Macaca mulatta: one gene and its partners. The main gene of each other region encodes a partner of the protein of the gene in region 3 in a complex. Links are inferred from orthologs where the notes say so. Each region holds a gene or a part of one and is shown on either strand. Other genes may lie near its edges. The genes, in order: EED, AEBP2 and JARID2.

Region 1 (2,564 bases), on a different chromosome or scaffold from region 3:
GGAGGCGCATTGTGTTGTGACAGGTTGGGGTGGAAGTCCAGGTTCCCCACTCGGTTGACTTGGTGTTGGTGCTTCATTACTGCTCAGTGGGGGTGGGAGTTAAGGCTCTCCGTAGGCCTCAGCTGATACCACTCTAGCTGGGAAGGGCCAGGATGCCTAATTACTGCCCCCCTAGTGGTCTCCATTGACACTGTGGGTAGTTGGTGGCTTTACCAGTGAGTGGCTATGAATGTCCTAACTCGATTAGGCCTCCTCTGATACCAGCCTAGCCCGAGAGGAGGAGGGTCACCCCATTGCTATAAGAGGTATGGGGAGAGTCATGGGATAGGCACTTGGGGTGCTTAGTTACAACCTGAGCATGGGTTTTTCACTGGGCTTTTGCTGGTTCAAGTGGAGATGGGTCCACAGATTTTTCTAGGGTGTTTGGCTGGAGTAGAGCATTGTCATCTGAAAATTTTGTCTTGTTAGGCTGCTACATTTTTTGGTTCCTTGGCTAGAAAGGGTAGGCTTTTGTTGTTGTTGTTTTTGTTGTCTTCACTCATTAGCATTTCTGAGTTGCTGCCTTCTCTCGCATCCAGTCTGGTATACATAAGGCAAAAGAAAACCCAGGAAACTCAACAGTTATCGTTATGTTCCAAGGTTTCTAACTTGCTTGCCTTTTCTCTACCTTTCCAAGTCTTATGTTTGCTTTGTGTATGATACTCAGACTTTTAAGCAGACGGATAGGAAAAAATACATCTGCTCTATTGTTCCAGCAGCAGAAGTAAAAAGCCATTAGGTTTTTTAAATTTCTGCTCTTAGAACTTAGATCTCTGGAAAGGATTTCTGAATTTTAGGTGGTAGGCTGAACTGGAATATATTGGTGGTCTCAAATCTGACTCTGCATTGGAATCACTAGGAGAATGTTAGAAAAATAGATTTCCTAGACCTCACCTTAAGAAATTCTAAATCTGGCACAAGGCCCTGGGAATTGGTAGTTCTAAAAAGCTCTTAGTACATGATTTTGAAGTGCAGCCATCCATTAGCTCTGGCAACATCTTTTTACCTCACTTTGCTTTAGTTGTTCCATCTAGGGACTCCAGTACTTAAAAATTCTTTACCGGTGCAGTTAGTAAGAAGCACTTGAAGAGCTTTTTTATAGTTCTTCTGCTTTGGCCTTTCTCTTAGAGACTGAATCAGTAGGGGCTGAGATGAGTCTTTCGAGAAAACTCCATAGACTATTGATCAAATTTTGCATTTAGCCAAGAGTCATCACACTAGGTGGTTTCTAAGGTCCTTTACAGTTAAAAACTTGAATAACAGATGTCATATAGCACTAGGATTTAAAAAGTCTAAATAAAAAAGGTAGAGAAGAAAAAAGAATGTGTTGTCTCCTCCCTAATCTTCAAGTGGCCATACTATTAAATTATTTAAATGCCTGTGAACCCCACAGGGCTGCCACCTGTGACTATATTATGTAGGCTGTCCAGTAAAATTCTAGGGGCACTGTTCACTTACACGAGGATTTCTGAATCCTGGTGCTATTTAGTTTAGGCCAGATAATTCCTTTTTTGAAGGGGGTTTCCTGTGCATTATAAGATGTTTAGTAGCATCTCTGGCCTCTACTCATTAGAGCACAGACACATTGCCAAATGTCCCTTAGTGGGCAAGCTACTGACCTAGATAGTAATATGAATAGTGCCCACAGTTTTGCAATTTTTTCTCATTGTATTCTTTACTACTTACTGCTTAGGTGTGTGCATACAAATTTGATTTTATAGGATAGGAAAAGTATAAGTTTGAAGCCTATTTCAATCCTGTCCCCATATCAGTGTCTTGATGTTAAACAACTGCTTTACTTGCCTTCAATTGCCCTATTTATAACCTGAGTTCTAAGGCCATTTATGTGAGTTCATCAAATTTCCTAAGATACCTGTTGAGTATCTACTGTGTGGCACAGATACTGGATGAAGGAATAATAGTTAATAAGGTAAAGGAAACCACCTGTGATTAGAATTGAAATGGGAAACTGCAAACTAGTGAAGTAAGCAAGAGCCAGATTAATGCCGGATTATGAAAAGCCATGTATTCTAATTCTGTATGTTTGTAATTATACCTTTGCTATAAAACAAGTCTCTGGGTGTCAGAGTATCTAGAGCTGAACTTGGTTTAACTTGGAAGAGAAATGTTGACTTCCAAAATGAATATTTCAGAAAATGTGATTCTTTTGTATTATCAAATTCTGTTGATAATCAGATTTCTTGTCCTTAAGTATGGGCATTGAGTATAAATATAAATGAATGTACATCACTGTACTTGATAGAAGGATTAACCAGGTTCTAAGAGCTGTGAATTCCAAAACAATAGAAAAGCCTTGTTTTTACTTTATAAGATTCAGTTCCACATTAACATTTCTTTTTCTCATTTCTCTCTCTGTTTTAGTCTTGTGAAAATGCCATTGTGTGCTGGAAACCTGGCAAGATGGAAGATGATATAGATAAAATTAAACCCAGTGAGTCTAATGTGACTATTCTTGGGCGATTTGATTACAGCCAGTGTGACATTTGGTACATGAGGTTTTCTAT
Region 2 (4,094 bases), on a different chromosome or scaffold from region 3:
GAGTGCAGTGGTACCATCTCGGTTCACTGCAACCTCTGCCTCCCGGGTTCAAGCGATTCTCCTGCCTCAGCCTCCCGAGTAGCTGGGACCACAGACGCATGCCACCACTCTCGGATAATTTTTGTATTTTTAACGTAGGTAAGGTTTCACTGTGTTGGCCAGGCTGATCTCAAACTCCCGACTCAGGTGATCCGCCCACCTCGGCCTCCCAAAGTGCCAGGGTTACAGGCGTGAGCCACCGCGCCCGGCCTCCACTTATTTAAGGTGAATTATTCTAACTCTTAAGTGGAAGTAACAGGGGACTTGAGAACCTTTGTTCATATGCAGCCCACCATTTCCATGCTGTATTTACTGTCCTGAGTAAGACACTCAACTTGCTGCTTCATCTGTTAAACCGAAGTCAAAATAATACCTATCTTGCACCAAAGTTGTGGGAAAGAAATGGAAGACATCGAATTTGTACAGTGGTAGGCAAGTATACGTGTATACTGGGTAAATGAAAAACGCTGATTTTATAAACTAATGTCAACTTTCAGATATGTAATGGTACTAGAGGAGAATAAAATGGTAAAAATAGCACATGCTTCATTGTGCAGTTTACATCAATTTTTAATTTTCTTGAAGACATTCTCCTTCCTACTCATGCCTACACAGTTCAACACAATTTTCCTAAGGTTTGTACAGTCTACTTTACCCCAAGATACTTTCTTAACTAGACGTTAATGTCAAACAGAATCTAATGCTAGATTTTCAAAATCTCCAGGACTCTGTCTTACTTGTAGCATTAAATACTAAGGTGTTCGTTTTTAATCAATTAATCGGAATTCCTAGAACTTCAGAATATTAAACTCTTAAATGAAAATCACTACCGACCACTAAATTTTCCATTGCTATACTTTTCTGGGGAGCATGTTTAAAAAAAAAAATCTTACTGATTGTCAAAACATAGGCAGATGGTCAAAATAAATGCTAATACACTTTAGAAGTGGCATAATACGCATGATGTGATTCTCGTTTTTTTAAAAGTACACTAAAAACCAACCCAAACAGACCAAAAGTAATGACAGGACAACTGAAACATATACTATCACACTTTTTAAATGTTCTGAAAAAATGCGCATTTTTGTCACTCTCCAGTTACTTCTAACAAGCTTTAGTCAGAAAAATAATACTCATTCCTTCCGAGACCTCTCCAATATATGACTTTAAATATTATCATGTAAAATCATGACTCTCACATTGAAGCATTACTATAAAGCCGCAAACTACGTTGCACCTTCCAGACTGTATTTTCTTACGATTCCAACTCTCTGATTCCGCAAAGTTATCTTAAAAGGCCATCAATTCACTATTCTTTTCCACAACCATTTATACGTGTTTAAAACTTTTTCCCAGATATGCTCCCAAAACAGAAAAGATTGTTAAAATCACGTTGGAGACCACATGACTGACTACAAATGAAGGATTTGGAAAGCAATGATTTAATACAAAAGAACAATCCTTTTTTGTTTAAGTAGAGAAAAGTGATAGCTGGGGTCTCCCCCCTGGACAAGGAAGTTCTGTTAAATCCAGGCGAGACCAGCCATATTGGAAACACTTGTCAATTATAGTTCTGACAAGTGTTCCCGAACACGGTTGGATGAAGCTAACCTTGAGTACCGACGTGTGTACATCAAGGCCCTCTTCTGCTCCGCCAGAGGATCTGGGCCCGTTTGGGGACTGTTTCCGAGTTAGAGCCGTCCTGAGGTCCGTGAGGAGCGAAGCGCCGAGGGGAAAGAGGGCGGGGAAAGGAGAGTTGGGGGGGAACGGTTTGAGTTGGAAGCCGCGATGCGCTGCGAGAGGGGCGCGGCGGCGGCGGCGAGAGATTTCCGAGTTGAGAGCCTGGGGGAGGGGCCGAGGATTCGGGGAGCAGGGGGATCGCGGCAAAAAGTCGCCTTGGTCCCCCTTTGAGGGGCTCGGGAGTTCAAGAGGAGGAAGGGAAAGGGAAACGCTTCAGAGCACTGACCTGTCCTCCGAGTCCATGCGGCTCAGGGGTTCCCCATCCGACGACATCTCCAAGCTGCCTCGCCGGCCCCCGGAGGTCGCGCTGCTTCCGCCTCCCCCAGTCCCGTAGCCCTCGTCGCCGCCGCTGGAGACGACGCTGCTGCTACTGCTGCCGCCCCCGCCGCCGCCCTGGCTGCCCCGCGGTCCCTTGGGCTCCTCCAGGCCCTCCTTGCCGTCCCCATCCCCGCTGCTGCTGCTGGCGGCGCCGGGGCTCAGCGACCGGGTCTCATCACTGCTGCTCCCGCCGCTGCTGCCCACCAGGCTCTCGGCGCTACTCTCCTCCTCACCCCCGCCGCTGCTGCTGCTCTCATCTTCCTCCTCCTCGTCGTCGTCCTCCTCGTCTTCGTCCTCCCCGGCCTGGCTGGCGCTCTCAGGGCTCGGCTCCGACATCGTCTCCGCCTCGCCGCCCCCCACTCCGCCGCCGCCTCCGCCGCCCCCACCGCTGCCGCCGTTCAGCAGCAGCGCCGCCACCGCCTCTGCCTCTGCCTCCTCTTCCTCCTCCTCCTCTTCCTCCTCCTCCTCGGGGGGCTCAGCCCGGCCCCGCGCCGCCGAACCCGGGCTGCCGGGGGGCAGAGGGCTCAGGCGGGAGAGCTCCTCCAGGTCGGCCATGTCGGTGATAGCGGCGGCCATGGCGGCGCCTGCTCCTCCTCCTCCTCCTCCCTGCCGCCGCCGCCGCCTCCCTCTCTCGACTCTCGCTCTCTCGCCCCCCTCCCAAACGCCCAAAACTCCTCCGACGCCGCTGCAGAGCAGGAGGAGGGCCCGCGAGCTGCGTCAGCCTGCACACGCGCTACGGAGCCCGCGCGGGGACAGGCGCGCGACTACGCGCACTCACACGGAGACGGCTGCGCGCCTGCGCGGCGGCACGAGGCGGCACCTCAGCCGGCTGCGAGTTCTGCGCCCGCGCCCCCGCCCGGAGCCCGCCCCGCTGCCCCGCGCCCGCCCCCGCCCCCGCCCGGCCCCGGCAAGTGCTCAGCGTTTCCTCGGGGCCTTCCCACGCCGTGCTGGGCTTCGAAGCCCAGGGACACGCGGACTGAAAACTCCAACGCTGGCCGGGGATTTTAGCAGCCTTCCGAGTTCTCACGATAAACTCATTCATTCCGGGGGTGTTTGGGGAGTGTCCCCTCTGTACAGGCGCTGAGCCAGGAATAGAACGAGCCTACAGTCTACGAAGAGAGCCGTTTAAAATGGGCAAAAAACACTAGGGTGTAAGGTACTAAATTTATATGCGCAACATAGGGCGACAGGTTTTAATACACCCTATGTTTGAATACCCCTGGGGATGTTGACATCCTGAACCCAGAGCAAACATCTTGGTTCAAGGTCCTCAAACTTTTTAGTTCATGAGCCTTCGAAAACAATTTTGTAAAGCCGTGTATGTTCTTAAACAGTTTAAAATGACAGCTATATTTCTTCCGGCTTATAAATATTTCATCTGTCGCATTTTTTAAAGACTCTATAGCCAATGGATTCTAAATACCGTAGGGATTTAATACCCACTAATATCCATTTTTTAAAAATGCAGTTTGGAAAATACAATTTCCAAACATTGTCTTCTGGAACTCATTGACGTTCCATATCCCTTCTAGAATTTTATCCTAATAATATATTTTATATTTGAACTCTATTTTGGTTGTCTTACCACATTTCCTTGTAATAAAAATGTGTACATAAATTGAAGTATCTGGGTTGTTTTTTACATTTTCTGTGATCATAAAGCTCTTATTTCAACTGATCAAAACACATCTATTTCAAATGTTTGTAAGTACTAAACACAAAAGCAAAATTTTATTGGCAGTGCATCTTGCAGAAATGAACTTGGGTGGACTTTTTTCTAATATACATTATGACCTTCAATGGATGGATTTTTTTGAGAAACAGTTCAGCATCAGTTCTATTCCAAGTTTTCAATTACATGGATGTAAGTATTGAGAAAATTTGTTCGCATAAAAAAGCAGATGAGAATGAATGGAGTTTTGTTATAGTAATGCCACACAATTCTTTGAATGCCTTTCAAATTATATGCCCAAAAATCGCATAAAGATCTAACAAAG
Region 3 (3,650 bases):
AACTCAGAATGTTTCCCTCCTGTCTGCAGGTCTCCAAAAGCAGGAGGACTCAGTGCGGTTCCATCACTGACTCAGTCACCATGTCCCAAGCAGTCACGGGACGTGGTCAGCAGGCGTGGGTGCACGCGTGTGCAAAGTCTGCTCCCTGCACTGCTGCCTGTCACGTGCCATTCCCAACAGCAGAGCACAAACCAACAACTCCTGCAAGTTAAGGTGACTGTTACTCAGGCATCAGCCCTAGCAGGCACCTGCTGAGGGGAACCACTGAACCTCCATCCTGCCTGGAAGCCTATCTTGCTGCCAAATCCCTGACGCTTAAATGATGGCTACATGTCTCCATGCCTTTGAAAATTCAGGATCTCCAAAATGGAGGTGTGGCCTGTTTCCTCCCATGGGTCTAGACTAATGGGGGTTGCAACCTTACCTGGATGCACCTCACTGCACAGAACCCACTTAGCCTTAACAGGGCAGGTTCATTCTCGCCCTGTGTCCCCAGTGCCAGGACTCAAGAGAGGATGACAGGGAAGGAGAGCTACAGGGGAACCCAAGAGGAGTCTCTGCCTGCAGCCCACCCCGAGGAGCAAGGGTCTACATGACAGCCCAAATATGCATTCGCTAAGGATCCACTGTGACAAGTCTGCAACAGCCCCAGCCAGAGCTGCACCTGGTCTCAGAAAAAATGTCAACAGATCCCCTGACCTGTGGCCTTGACAACATCGCCAGAGAAACTGAAGCTCAAGGAAAAACAAAGAAGAAGAAGAGACAAGGCTGAGCAGGATAAAAAATGTCCTGCAGGACCCTAGAGGGCTATGGGCTGCATGGTGCACCCTCCAAATTCATATGTTGAAGCCCTGACCCCCAGTACCTCAGGACATGAATGAATTTGGAGACAGGGTCTTCAAAGGGGTAATTATGTTAGAATGAGGTCAGTAGGATGGGCCCTAATCCAAAGACACAGACACACACAGAGGTAGGACCCTGTGAGGACACAGGGAGAAAACAGCCATCCACAAGCCAAGGAGGAAGGCCCTGGGAGAAACCAACCCTGCCGGCCCCTAGACCTTGGGCTTCCAGCCTCCAGAACTGTGAGGAAGGTCTGTTGTAAGTTCAACAGTCAGTGGCGCTTTGCAGTGGCAGTCTAGCAGAATCCAGAGGGGCAGCGTTCCCCACTGACCCCCTGGCCCCTGCTCTGACTCCAGCAGTTGTGGGTAGAAGTTGACAGCCCAGGGGATGCAAGGGGCCCACCCCAGATCCAAGCTCAATACCATTCTTGTCCTGCCACCAACGCCCAGGACCTGGGAAGAAGGGCTGCAGGGGGAATGAGCTGAGAAGCCCACTACTCCCGAGACAGGGGAGCCGAACTGGAGCTTCTGCAAGGGAAGAGAACGTGAAGACTGTGAGGGAACTGCAGGGATCTGGGGCAGGCAGGGACACTCCCCCCACCCCCTAGCCCAGACCTACCTATGAGCGGGAGCTCGTCCATGGTGATGCCCTGAGATTTGAGGTGCTTCTTGATGCAGGCCAGCCGCTGCACGTTGGGGCCCCAGCGCCGGCCCAGCTTGTGGATGTGCTGAATCTGCGTGACAAACCGCATCTCATCGTTGAGCTTGCACTCGGGCCGCCAGTCTGGAGGGGGGATCACCCTGCACATCCCGAACTTCTCCACCTGAGCGCGGACCGACTCGATGTAGATGAGCGGGTCGTGGAACTCCTTGGCGGAGGGCCTAAGGACGGGGATCTCGTCCATGGCCGCCCACCCGGCCTTGCCGCCGCCCTTCTCGGCCTTGCCCGAGTCCTGCGGCTTGTGCACGGACTCCGGTTGCGAGGTAGAACGATTTTCACAGGAGGCGCCGTCCGCCTTGCCATGTGCTTGTCTGCCTGGCGTGCTCTTCCCGGCTGTGGCCCGCTTCGGCCGATTCCTCTCCAGACTGCGCTCCGGCACTTCCTTCTTCACGTGTCCATTCAGCAGACCTTTCTCGGCCGGGGCCTTCTTACCAGGGCCTTCTGCGGGGCCAGCCGCCCCTTTCATCTTCTTGGGGGGCGACTGTGGCTTCTCCGCCTGGTGTGCCTCTTCCAGTCTCCTCTTGGAGTTCCGCAGCCCCTCCCGCAGCTGCAGGCCCTCCCGCAGCTGCCGCCCCCCAACCTCCTTAGTGCATGACTTTGGGTTCAACCTGCCACTGACCTTGAGGCCATTGACGGCGGGCCCGGTGGACTTGGACGCCCCCCCGAGGGATAGCACCTGTTTGCGGGTTTTTGCATTGCTACTTTCAGTTTTCCCTGAGATTGTGTGGTTGACAGCGGAACTGGGCTTGTGGTGATTGGGTTTGGTGTCCTTGACCAGTTCTCTCTTGGCTTTGGTGTATGTGACAGCCCCCTTCGTCACCGTGGCAGTGTACTTCACAGTTTTGGATGGTGAAGGTCTGACCTCGCGCATCTTTTTGGCACTGGTTGCACCCGCACCCAGAGATGACATTCGAGTGACTCCATTTACCTTAGAAACCTGTGGAGCAGCAGAAGCAGAGGCGGAAAAAAATGCAGAATTAGTACCTGCCACGAAAACGACGGGCCCACCCGTGAGAAAGGGCCCTGGGTGCTGGGGATGAACAGAACACCAGCAGCCTGTTTGTGATAAGAAGAGATGTGGAAATGCCAGCAAAGAGAAGCAAAATACACATCCAAGAATTAAGCAGCGATGTCCACTTTCGGAATCCACTATACACCTATCCTTCTTCACAAAAGTATGCAGCCTGCCCCAAGCACTTCCTAGCCGGGTTTCCTGTGTGTATTTTCACGTTCTCATGGCTCTTCCAGGAAATCTGGTGTTTCACAATGAAGACCTCCCCACGTGCCAGACAATCACCTGTCCTGAGCTTCTAAGAGTTGATGACAGCAAGATCCTGCTTCCTTGGGGGAAGTGGAGACAGACACACACACACATCCCTGTTCCAAGAAAAGTCATGTCTGCTATTTCTGTGCTCCACATAGCAGCACGACCTGCCCACAGGATTTAGAAATCTATGTGGCTAAAAAAAGAAGGAAAACAAAAATACTATGGAAGGAAAAGAACAGCAGTGCCCATGTGGTTTGGCTCCGGGTGGCAGGCCGGGCCCAGAGGTGTGGCTGCAAACTGTCAGCAGCTGCCGTCTGCTTTCCTTGTGGAGACAAGCCCTGGACAGGAACAGGCTGGATGGAAGAGGGATGCCCCGACCTCACTGGTGAGCAACACATGCCAACCCTCATCTGCACACGTGCTTCCTATATTTTCCCAACCTTTACAAACTTTCCCACATATTTTCCCACCCTGGACAAACTTTCCATTGGGTTCTATGGGACCTGGGCAAACAGAGGCAGTCTTACAGCTTGGACGCCACGGTAATCCTGGGACACACAAATGTCACAGAAAATGGGGAGCGACAATGGCAGACACCATAAATGCACAGGCTTCAAACAAGAATGATGAAGGGACCCCAATGGGCTGCTGCCGGACATGCTGGTTTTGAGGAGATGTCTTCTCCGTGTCACGATGTAGCCACTGACCCACCACTTAACAACTTGGGCATTACTTTCCACCTATGATATGAGTTTAAAGTCAGGGACTTCAGGGTTTTATAACCACCACCATCTCCAAAGGAAGAAGCCTAAAAATCACA

Evidence for each region.
Region 1: the proteins of JARID2 (region 3) and EED are in contact, whole or in part, in a cryo-EM structure (PDB 6C23), measured with the Homo sapiens proteins. The link is inferred for Macaca mulatta from reciprocal best matches to the Homo sapiens genes JARID2 and EED. Residues at the interface, in NP_004964.2 of Homo sapiens: Pro109, Gln114, Arg115, Lys116, Phe117; in NP_003788.2 of Homo sapiens: Pro95, Phe97, Tyr148, Arg306, Asn307, Tyr308, Cys324, Asp362, Ile363, Trp364, Tyr365, Arg414, Asp430.
Region 2: the proteins of JARID2 (region 3) and AEBP2 are in contact, whole or in part, in a cryo-EM structure (PDB 8VNZ), measured with the Homo sapiens proteins. The link is inferred for Macaca mulatta from reciprocal best matches to the Homo sapiens genes JARID2 and AEBP2. Residues at the interface, in NP_004964.2 of Homo sapiens: Ser148, Lys151, Pro152, Lys153, Thr154, Glu155, Asp156, Leu158, Thr159; in NP_001107648.1 of Homo sapiens: Arg407, Ala410, Ile411, Asn414, Leu415, Glu420, Ser421.

The regions. Positions count from the first base shown.
Region 1 is NC_133419.1:86,871,564-86,874,127, forward strand, and holds part of EED (polycomb protein EED), read left to right. Parts: intron 1-2,421; coding exon 2,422-2,564. UniProt on the Homo sapiens protein: Polycomb group (PcG) protein. Component of the PRC2/EED-EZH2 complex, which methylates 'Lys-9' and 'Lys-27' of histone H3, leading to transcriptional repression of the affected target gene.
Region 2 is NC_133416.1:21,905,500-21,909,593, reverse strand, and holds the start of AEBP2 (zinc finger protein AEBP2), read right to left. Parts: upstream 2,884-4,094; 5' UTR 2,674-2,883; coding exon 2,006-2,673; exon of another isoform or gene 1,674-2,005; coding exon of another isoform or gene 1,651-1,673; intron 1-1,650. UniProt on the Homo sapiens protein: Acts as an accessory subunit for the core Polycomb repressive complex 2 (PRC2), which mediates histone H3K27 (H3K27me3) trimethylation on chromatin leading to transcriptional repression of the affected target gene.
Region 3 is NC_133409.1:167,623,787-167,627,436, forward strand, and holds part of JARID2 (protein Jumonji), read right to left. Parts: intron 2,501-3,650; coding exon 1,462-2,500; intron 1-1,461.